4 linked regions of the Kluyveromyces lactis genome follow. The protein of the gene in region 3 binds, or shares a complex with, the protein of the main gene of each other region. Links are inferred from orthologs where the notes say so. Each region holds a gene or a part of one and is shown on either strand. Other genes may lie near its edges.

Region 1 (2,391 bases), on a different chromosome or scaffold from region 3:
GTGTACACTAGACTTACACCAAAATCGGTCCCACTTTCCTCTCAATCTTCCAATAAATCTACTGATCTAGGTATTCCGCAATTGCAAAGACCTCCATCTTCACACTCATCATCGCAGAACAACTCTAAACGTAAGAATAAGAAAAAAAACAAGAAGAGAAGGATTTCCCCATAAGTTTGAATAACCCTTTCCTTAAACTACCGGCTTACAATACACTTGCATCCTTGTTCATTCTTTCTTTGTAAACAGTCATACATGCATCTACCTCACACTGACTTCAGTTCATCTTTTTTCACTTCGGTTTCAGTTCATTTGGATCATCATATACATCTTCATCTATAGTAGTTGATATATTATTATAATTTTATCTTTTCATTATTCTATTTTATGTACACGAAATGAGGTCTACAAATGCTAATAAACCAGTTGGAATGAAACTCTCCATCGAGACCTTCACTATTTCACAAATCGATGCTTTGATTAGTGAAAAAAAAGTCAGTTTATGGAACTACCTTAATACCCATACTCTTAGCAACACCGATAATAGACTTTACGATTCCTTCAAGTTCCAGAGCAGCGTGTCTTCCATCGGTCTTCTTGATCTTGGCGATCTCATATATATGTTTTAACGACAGTTCACCACATACATTATCAGGGTTACTGATATTTGGTTGTCCGTGTCCCTTCTCAAGACTTAATGCCTTCAATAAAAGATATCCAGTAGGAGGGCTTTTCATTTCAAACGAAAATGTTCTATCTGGTTTGATATTGATGAGTACTGGAATCGGAGTACCCGGTTGGAAGTTTGCTGTTCTGGCATTGAACTCTTTACAGAAATCAATAGCTTTAATACCTTTAGACCCTAAAGCTGGACCAACTGGAGGAGAAGGCGCAGCTTGACCTGCTCCGACAATAAGTTTGACTATCACGTTCTTAAGAACCTTCGACATGGTCCTGTTTGGCGCTTCCTGGACTTACTGTTTCGATATTTTGTTCGAGGCAATTGATCGGATTGAATGCACATCTTACTTTAAGCCATCGATTTTTACCAGCTTATAATCTGGCATATCTCCAAGAATTTTTTAGGCCAAAGAAAATTTTGAAGTTATTACCCGCACATTGTTTTCCATTATACACTTTCTAATAAGCACAATTCATTGTCTGCTAAATAGAACCATATGCTGCGATGTGTACCGACTTCATGCCAAAGGTTGCTAACGTTATAAAGCATTAATTTTATGAGAATGCCAAGAATTGTTCTTAAATATTTTATACATTTGTGTACTTTTACAGGAGAGATAATTTATAACGATTGCACAACAATTAGAAGTCTATGTCGTCTCAGAAGAGTTACTCTTATTTGATAAAACATGCTGTAGAACATACCTCAGCCGGATTGCTAGTTTTACTCTCTCTCTTAATTTATTTTGCCTTTTTTTTCTTTTCAAGACCAGCAATGTGGGCTTCGCTTTGATCAACTTGGGTATGTTTGTGGTCCATTCCAGGGTGCACGACGTAGTTACCTTGGTTGTCTACTTCAACGGTGCACATGTCAATGGATTGAATCCAAGGGTCATTTAATACTTCTTCAATATTGGCTCTACAAGCAGGAGCCAAGTCTACCATCCTACCGATAATGTGGTGGGTCTCTTCCGGTAAGGAATGAAGTAGTCTTTGAGGACCAATATTCGTGTTGTTTGGATCAGATGGGTTGTTCGATTTAGATGTGCTCTCAGCTGGCTCATCAGATTGGACGGCATTGTCATAACTTGGCGGTTTAGGTGTTTTTGTGACTAAAGCACTCAAGGAATCGCAGTCTCTTCCCGAACAGAAGAATTTGAAGGAATTATCCTTTAACTTAGGTATCTTCCATGGGAATTTCTTTAATACCATACATGCAAACAAAATGGCAACGGACCATATATCAACAGGTCTTGGGTCATACTTGGTAAATATACAAACTTCGGGAGCCAAATATGGATCACTTCCAACAATGCCACTTGACTCGATTAAAGTTTTTGAGTGGGGGTAGGAGAAGACTTCTGCAGCACCGAAGTCAATCAACTTCACTATACCCTGGTTGTTTATTACACAGTTGTCCAACTTCATATCACGATGCGCCAGACCAATACTGTGTAAATATTCTACACCGGTCAAGATTTGCTTGAAACAACAACAGATTTCTTCATACGACATCTTATTACTCATGACGATGGCGAAAAGGTCATAATCACAATACTCCATGACTTGGAAGATCCTGTTGTTTTCGTAAACAATTTCAATAGTGGATATGATGTTTGGATGACGTAAAGTTGTACCAATACAGTATTCAGAAGTAATTTTCTTCACATAATCACGCTTACTTTCGTGTTCAAACTTTGGTCTGAATTC
Region 2 (2,729 bases), on a different chromosome or scaffold from region 3:
GAGATCCAACCGATTATTTGTTCGCAGAGGACAAAGAACAAGCTCTCGCGGAACAACATAAACTTGAAAGAGAAAGAGCTTCCAAGATCGGTGGGTTATTGAAACCATCGGAATTGGATGATGATGAGTAAAGATAACACCTTACAGAAATGTACAGCATGGTCAAGAAACGAAAAAGTTTCTGCGGATCCAATGAAAGCTGAAACTAACACTTGTCAAGCAAGGCAAATATATACATAGCAGGCCGTATATCTTCCCACATAGAGAAAAAAATTGTAATCAATTCTCTCCGACATATACCCAGGATCCAGTATCAACGTATGAAAGCCATTAAATATCTGGTTGAAAAGGACACTCAACGTTGCAGCAGTTACTATTTTATAATTGGTGTATATACAGGTATAGATTGTTAATAATAACCGTAGAAAGGCATGCTTTCCAAATGATTTCGGGACGGTGTCTAAACGACTGAAAAGATTCAATTTCTTAATCACAGTTTTTTATACTGGGGTTGGCTTTTTGATAGCATCTTGGATCTTAACGAATGCACCATTTGGACCTGCGACAGAGCCCTTCACCAAGACAGTACCTGTTTCGTCGTTGACGTCCAGCACTTGCACGTTTTGAATTGTTACAGTGTCGACACCCATATGACCAGGCATCTTTTTCCCAGGCAACACACGACCAGGTGTTTGATTTTGACCGTAAGAACCACCAGATCTGTGAGATACGGAAACACCGTGGGATGCCTTCAAACCTTTGAATCCATAACGTTTCATTACACCTTGGAAACCCTTACCTTTGCTGATTGATCTTAAATCAACGTATTGGCCAGGCTTGAACCACGAAGGTTTGATTAAAGAACCCACTGGTAGTAGTCCAGATTCGTCCTTGACTCTAAACTCGGTAACTTTTTCCTTTGGATTCACAACATGTGCAGCGAAATGTCCCAACATTTGTCTGGTAACATTCTCCGGCGACTTGTTACCATAACCAATTTGGCAAGCCCAGTAATTGTTTTCAGCTGGAGTTCTGTGTAGTATAACTTCGTTATTGTCCAACTGAAGTACAGTAGCTGCTATACGTTTACCAGTCTCTTTCTCGAAATACGGCATCATCCCTACTTTTTTACTCAAAGCACCACAACGTAGAGGTAATCTTCTTCTCTTTAGCGCATTTTCTGGAGAATGTTTAATATCTACAGGATCTAGATGAATGCTGCTTGCCACGGATGGTGCGACTAACTTGGCACCGTTCGATACTCCACTTTGTGAGAAAAGTCTTGTCCAAATCTTCGACGAAGGACTGCCAATAAATGCCATTATTCCCCAATTTTCAAAGACTGGTCGATTGATAACAAATGTGTCAATCCAGATAACCTCTTGGCAATGCTGGAGAAACTGTAAAGGATTTAAAATGTAGTTTAAAGACTCTATTGAAACCTGTTTCCATCTCTGTATAATTGTTAAAGCTGTTTCGATATTGAAAATTTTTTGAATCGATAAAGTTACCTATAGATCACGTGATTAAAACGGCACGTAGTTCTCTCACTGATTTAACACAAATTAAGTGTGCCCTTGACGGTTATTGGAAGTGTATGTTTATGCTTCTGTATTTACATGTTATTTAATATTATAATAATTATAATCATCATTCTATCGTCATCATTTGATCTTCTTATCCTTGATCTTGATAGTTTCATTGTTAACGTAGATACCTTTACCCTTATATGGTTCTGGAGGATGGAATTTTCTCAAGTTGGCAGCGAAGAGTAGCACTTGTTGCTTGTTGACACCTTCCACGATCAACGACGTGGGTACCGGAGACTTAACTATGATTCCCTCTGGGATAGGTAGGCCTTGTCTTACCGACGCACCGACTTTGACGTTGACAAAGGTGTTATTTTCCTCCAATTGAGCTCTGTAACCGGTACCAACGAACTTCAGAACAGCCATATGGCTCTCATTCACGCCTGTGATATGATTATTTATATGAGATCTTACCGTCCCCCACATGGATCTTTGCGTCTTGTCGGTAGAATCCTTCACTGCAACTTCGATTTTTCCCGAAGATCCATCCTGCTTTATCTCCACGAAATCTGGGATTTCCATATCAATCTTCCCCAAAGGACCCGATACAGTTACGTTCTGAGATAACTTAAGAGATTTGTTACCCTTTCTGATGATCTTTGGCAGTTTCATTGATTCCACCACCAACTTGGTCTCCGGTGTCAAATACACCGGAGAAGAACCAATATGTGAGCGCAGAAGAGCCGACACAGAAAAGAGTCTTCTGGAAACAAATGTCATGGTAATTGTGTATATCCTGGAAATAGTCTAGCCCACTTTGCAGCCGCTATATGACTGGGTATATTAGATCAAATGCGTCTATATCAATCTGTTCTTCCAGCACTCATCTCTATGCGTCTTTCAACCAATTTTTCACTTGGAATCAAAATTTTAATAGTGAGATAGTATGGGAGGGTAACTTTAATTGCTTTGACGATTGTTAAATAAGATATACTTAGGCTGTTACTCTCGATTGGTGACCATCTAGGCCACTCCTGGGTCGAAATGGGATGTGGAGACTGCTCTTCGTCGAAACACAGGAGTAAATACCTTGTGCTTATATTATCCTGTGCATCACGTGACTTGTTGATCTTTGCCCTTTCTTTTTGAAAAATTTCAAGCTCATCGCCTACGCATCGTCATCTCATCTCAATTACTGAA
Region 3 (2,730 bases):
GTCAGACTTCGAGGAAAGTAAGCATTACCAACCTTATTCGTTTGGTCAAGAAGAAGACATCGTAGTCCCACCAGTTACCGGAGGTGGATTTGGCGCTGCTGCTACTTTACCAAACTCTCATTCAGCATCATCATCCTCTGATAGATCTGGTGTAAGTCAAAATAGGGAGAAAAGATTGGATAATAATGGAAACGAAATCAGTGATTCGCAAATCGTTAGTCCGTTTGGAGAAACTATGGATCAACCAGACCTAACACAACCTCCTGTACGTCCGACAATGGGAAATCCTAGATTCAGCAATGGTTCTTTACCAGATGTAACTCAACAAAGGCGACCGCTAAGAATCGCCAATCCAGATGAGCTGGATGATGAGGATACAGAATTCAATTCGATCATCGAAAATCTCAGGGGAGATTGATCCTGATACAATATAACATCATCTTTTTAACACATTTCGCTAAGATAATAGCATGATATACCCAATATCATCCCCTTGTTGTTGTCAAACAAAACAAACGCCAAAAGGAAATATTCCAAATATAAAACATCAACTAAGGCCCACAATAAGCCATGTTCCATACTCACTACTGATACTTGATACCCCTAATGAAAACTATCAACTGAGGATCAGTTAATTGTCTAACACTATAAACAAGACAAGTCACAAAATATATCGAAACGATTTATGTTATACTGATAAGTTGGGCTTTCACATATGTACATATATAACGTTATAATACTCATTTAATTTCTTCACATTTTACTTCAAGGTATCTTTATAATGGTTAATTGTCATGTTTACTGTCGGGAATTATTGTGCTACATTTTCATCTAGGGTAATTGTTTAAGGGATCCAAAAAAATGCTTCCAACCAGAGTCGAACTGATGATCTCCACATTACTAGTGTGGCGCCTTACCAACTTGGCCATAGAAGCTGTTTCTTGTCATAAAAAGAATTTACCACTATATACTCCTACGAGATTATTGCCTGCTACCAATTCTTTTCTGGTGGACCTAACCTATTTTGAACTGAGGAATACGCAGTTTATAATGTTACAGCTACATTTTTGAAAAACGTGATGCTAAAATAATAGTAGGTTTACTGAAATAGTTTCGGCTGTTTCAATTTGTCAATCTGCTAGGCGCATCTAAACACTTACATCAGCATTGCATACCCTCTTATCGTCTCCAAGCTCCCTCTGTGTCCTAGCGAATCTCAGCATTTTAAAAGGTTACCCGAATACCTAATTTCGAAAATTTTTTAGAATGAATATGGTTAACTTACAAGAAATTACTGGAGATGATTTGGATATTCAATGAATCTACTGGATATCTACTATTATCGATATTTAATAGCCCTATCTCGAGGTCTCACAATACTAGCACGATGTTTTCGATCAACAAAGTGGTGAATCCCTTTGGATCACTTATACAGAGATCATTTGTACGCCAAATCACGATCCTTGGTGGTTTAAAACCTGGTGAAGGCTCTAAGAAGAACTACAAAAGATTGGGTAGAGGTCCATCCAGTGGCAAAGGTAAGACTGCTGGTAGAGGTCAAAAGGGTCAAAAGGCCCGTGGTTATGTAAAATCATGGTTTGAAGGTGGTCAAACCCCAATCTTCAAATTGTTCCCAAAGCTAGGGTTCACCAACGTAACATCACTAAAATTGAAAGAATTAAACCTTGATAGAATAACGTGGTTCCACCAAAAGGGTCGCCTACATTTGGAGCCAGGTGAAACCTTGACGATGAAAAAGATGAAAGAAATCGGTTTGGTTACCGGCCCGATCAAAGATGGTATTAAGATTCTAGGTGATGGTAAATTCTCTTATAATCTTCCAATCAAGATTGAAGCTACTAGAGCTTCACAGGATGCAATTGAGGCAATCGAACATGCAGGCGGAAGTTTCACTGCTCGTTATTTCAACCGTCTTGGTCTAAGAGCCCATTTATCACCACATTGGTTCCTAGAAAAGTACGGAAGAGTTCCTCTACAAGCTAGACCCACAAAGAGGAAGGATATTGAATATTACTGTAACGAAGAAAAGAGAGGTTATTTGATTATGGAAAATGACCCATACTATCAACTTTTGCAGAAATCCAAAGATGAAGGCGGTAAAAATTTGGTTGCTCGGAAGACCAAGAAGTCCAAGCTTGAGTTGCAATTAGAGCAACTTGAGAACGATTTTGCTCCTGCTTCTCCAAATTCTGAAATTAAATCAAACTGAACATCATATAGCAATATAGAAATGCCCTGTATATAATACACATCATTCAACGCCATTTCTCCAGATTTATACACCATATCAATCAAATTGATATCTGTATTCACAAGTTGTAGCAACTTTTGTCTATTTAATGCTCTAAAGTCTAAAAATATAAGAATGAGCTTGTCTCACTTTTACACATCGTTTTGTGGAGTAGAAGACTCTGTGTTTTTGTTGTCCAACAATCTTTCTTCGAGAACCTGTAGGGCTAACTTTTTCCTTCTTTCTTCCGCTTCAGAGCCTTCAACAGGCTTAGCACCCCTCTTTTGAGCCAAAATGTTAGCTTGTTCGATATCGTATACTCTAAACGGAGTTGCAATACGCCAATCAACAATAAACTTCTGGTAAAGGTAATCAAATATTGGCTCAAGTACTGGTTTGACTAAATCCGGGAAGAAATATATCAATTGGAATGTCTCAGAGGCATCTCCTACCACTTCAAATTCAGCATCCTCAGCCAT
Region 4 (2,418 bases), on a different chromosome or scaffold from region 3:
CTGGAATATCAATAGCCTGATAAGTTCTCTTCTGAATTTCCACAAATAAACCTGATGCGTAAGTCAAGTTTCTGAGACGGGCTTCCTGCGGATACATCGCATGAGAAACACCATCTGACTCAGTCATGGATGGTTTGGCCAAATAAATCTTACCAAATGAAATTTCATACTTTCTGGAAATGTTGTCCGTTTCAGTGGTATGCTGTGCTAATTGTTCCAAAATCAAGGTACTGTCTTCCAAGATAAGATCCTGAATCGTATAGTTGATGAATTGGTTAAAAGAATCCAACTGCTGAGATACTAAACCTTTTTCTCTGAAGAAAGCGGAGATAACAGTCCACGAATCTTCTGCTGAAATAGCAGCTTCTTCCTCATCGTACCCATATGGATCTTCATCATAGTATTCAGTCATCCTTGGTCTGTATTAAGAATTGCAAACGTTAATAATCTACACTGACCTCACAACCGTGGCAAATAATGCGTACGTGCGTGCTTATTATTAAAGTACAGAATAACACTCTTTGTTGTGTTGCTCGCAACCTGAAAAGAAATGTGTATTACTGGTCAAACAAAGAAGAAAACACACCCCAAATACAAAGAGTTAAGGACTTACCCAATAATCCGAAACAAACCCCACTCTGACAGAAGATGATTAAGCCGACTGGTACTCTCTTTTCTCTTCTCTCTTCCAATCTTCCTATTAACGATCAATCGGTAATTACGTTTCGCCTCTCAAAACAATAATATTTCAATTTCAAGCTTCCAGAGTATTTTTTTTCTTCACTATAAAGAGAACATCATTTCCCACGTCACAAACGGGTAACAGCATTTATTCAAAAATTTCAATATATCAGGTCACGTGAAGATCATTTCCTACGCTCTGATTTTTCCAATAAAAAATCTTTCTTCTAAAACATCCCAGAGCTCTCCAGTTTTGTACGACATATTCTACGTTAGATTCGTGCCAAAATGTGTACTCATCAGCTTTTCTAATATCTACTAACATGGAAAATGAGTATTTTAAAGCTTTTCATTGAAATGATTTCGATTTTAACATTAAGATTTGTATGAAGATGAGGCTTCTAAGAGACGCATACAAGAACAGGATTATTTGGGACTTTTCAGTTGCGAGTGCAGAGCGAAGTGAAGTAGTAATCTTTGCGCCAGTGTTTCTGTTCAATATCTATAACAAATGCCTCGTTTTTTCCCATCTCTCAAACAGGGTTTGAGAAACCTTGCTACTGCGGTAGAGACGGAATCTACAGTAGCAGTCAAAGCCAGTCAGTTCAAGAGACCTCGTCAATCCGTACAAAGCAGAATCTTGGAGTACACTCGTGAAGCGATTAAAACTGAGAAACCACATTTTAAAGTTGGTGGTGCAGAGCTCTATTTTCCTAAAGCGAGAGTTATTCTACTAAGACCAAATGCTAAACACACTCCATATCAAGCGAAATTCATCGTTCCTAAATCGTTTAACAAATTAGATTTAAGAGATTATTTATTCCACCTTTATGGTTTAAGAGCGTTGAACGTTACTACACAGTTATTGCATGCCAGATACACTCGTGCTACGCCGGTGTCGCCCAGGTACCGTGGTCCTCAAATCAAGAAGATGACTATCGATATGGCAGAACCATTTATCTGGCCTGCAGAACCTGAGGACAAGAGTGCATGGAATACTGAGTTCCAAAAGGAATTGGAAAAATACAGAAACGATAGGATGAGACTAGGATCCGACGCTAACAAACCTTCAAAGGCATTCGATGGTGTATTGGGACCATACCAGGAAACTGCAAAACCTTTCATTCCTAGATTCCTTAAAAGAAGACTAGTGAATAAGAAGGCTAGAGAGGCAAAGAAGGAACAATATTTGGAGCAAATCAAGAAGGTCAGTGAAGTCCTTGCTAAAAGCACATGAATTTCAGAGAATTTATTCTTTCATGAATTAAATTCTAGTAAAAGTATTACATCCTGTAAATATAATGTATGAAATATAGTACTGATTTAAAAACTGTCATAGCAAAATAATATGACGACTACTTGTGAACATTTTCAATGTTTAAATGAGAAATAAGTTTGAAGAACACTATATGTATGTATAAAAGATAAATACATTGTGGTGAATATTAAGGGAAAGTTAAGTGCAGTATGTCCCAGTTTGAAAAAAAATGAAGCGAAAAAAGAGTAACGGTATAAGATTTCTATTTGATTCCTGAATTTCCGTTGTATTGATCTTCACGGTTCAGGATGGAAGGGTTCAATAACGGGCAGGTGCTCATTTAATGTCATACTTAGTCACTAAACGGTTAATCTTGTTTCTTTTTTTCCTGTTGCTGATTATACTAAGATTGGCATTCTAATGTTCTTTATAAGTTCCTATTCCAATTAGTACACGGAGTTTCTAGTTTTTTTGTTCCT

Evidence for each region.
Region 1: MRPL10 (region 3) and MRPL19 share a complex: the UniProt entries of both Schizosaccharomyces pombe proteins name them as parts of the mitochondrial large ribosomal subunit. The link is inferred for Kluyveromyces lactis from reciprocal best matches to the Schizosaccharomyces pombe genes mrpl10 and mrpl19.
Region 2: MRPL10 (region 3) and MRPL9 share a complex: the UniProt entries of both Schizosaccharomyces pombe proteins name them as parts of the mitochondrial large ribosomal subunit. The link is inferred for Kluyveromyces lactis from reciprocal best matches to the Schizosaccharomyces pombe genes mrpl10 and mrpl9.
Region 4: MRPL10 (region 3) and MRP20 share a complex: the UniProt entries of both Schizosaccharomyces pombe proteins name them as parts of the mitochondrial large ribosomal subunit. The link is inferred for Kluyveromyces lactis from reciprocal best matches to the Schizosaccharomyces pombe genes mrpl10 and mrp20.

What each region holds. Positions count from the first base shown.
Region 1 is NC_006040.1:715,829-718,219, reverse strand, and holds MRPL19 (mitochondrial 54S ribosomal protein uL11m), read right to left. Parts: upstream 951-2,391; coding exon 501-950; downstream 1-500. Other genes in the region: ubiquitin-specific protease UBP10, read left to right, coding at 1-174; serine/threonine protein kinase NPR1, read right to left, coding at 1,423-2,391. UniProt on the Schizosaccharomyces pombe protein: Component of the mitochondrial ribosome (mitoribosome), a dedicated translation machinery responsible for the synthesis of mitochondrial genome-encoded proteins, including at least some of the essential transmembrane subunits of the mitochondrial respiratory chain.
Region 2 is NC_006041.1:1,426,133-1,428,861, reverse strand, and holds MRPL9 (mitochondrial 54S ribosomal protein uL3m), read right to left. Parts: upstream 1,323-2,729; coding exon 501-1,322; downstream 1-500. Other genes in the region: exportin CRM1, read left to right, coding at 1-131; MRPL6 (mitochondrial 54S ribosomal protein uL6m), read right to left, coding at 1,665-2,309. UniProt on the Schizosaccharomyces pombe protein: Component of the mitochondrial ribosome (mitoribosome), a dedicated translation machinery responsible for the synthesis of mitochondrial genome-encoded proteins, including at least some of the essential transmembrane subunits of the mitochondrial respiratory chain.
Region 3 is NC_006039.1:1,033,445-1,036,174, reverse strand, and holds MRPL10 (mitochondrial 54S ribosomal protein uL15m), read left to right. Parts: upstream 1-1,300; coding exon 1,301-2,230; downstream 2,231-2,730. Other genes in the region: WSC2 (Wsc2p), read left to right, coding at 1-418; KLLA0_C12111g (uncharacterized protein), read right to left, coding at 2,404-2,730. UniProt on the Schizosaccharomyces pombe protein: Component of the mitochondrial ribosome (mitoribosome), a dedicated translation machinery responsible for the synthesis of mitochondrial genome-encoded proteins, including at least some of the essential transmembrane subunits of the mitochondrial respiratory chain.
Region 4 is NC_006038.1:504,944-507,361, forward strand, and holds MRP20 (mitochondrial 54S ribosomal protein uL23m), read left to right. Parts: upstream 1-1,192; coding exon 1,193-1,918; downstream 1,919-2,418. Other genes in the region: DNA-directed RNA polymerase II subunit RPB2, read right to left, coding at 1-412. UniProt on the Schizosaccharomyces pombe protein: Component of the mitochondrial ribosome (mitoribosome), a dedicated translation machinery responsible for the synthesis of mitochondrial genome-encoded proteins, including at least some of the essential transmembrane subunits of the mitochondrial respiratory chain.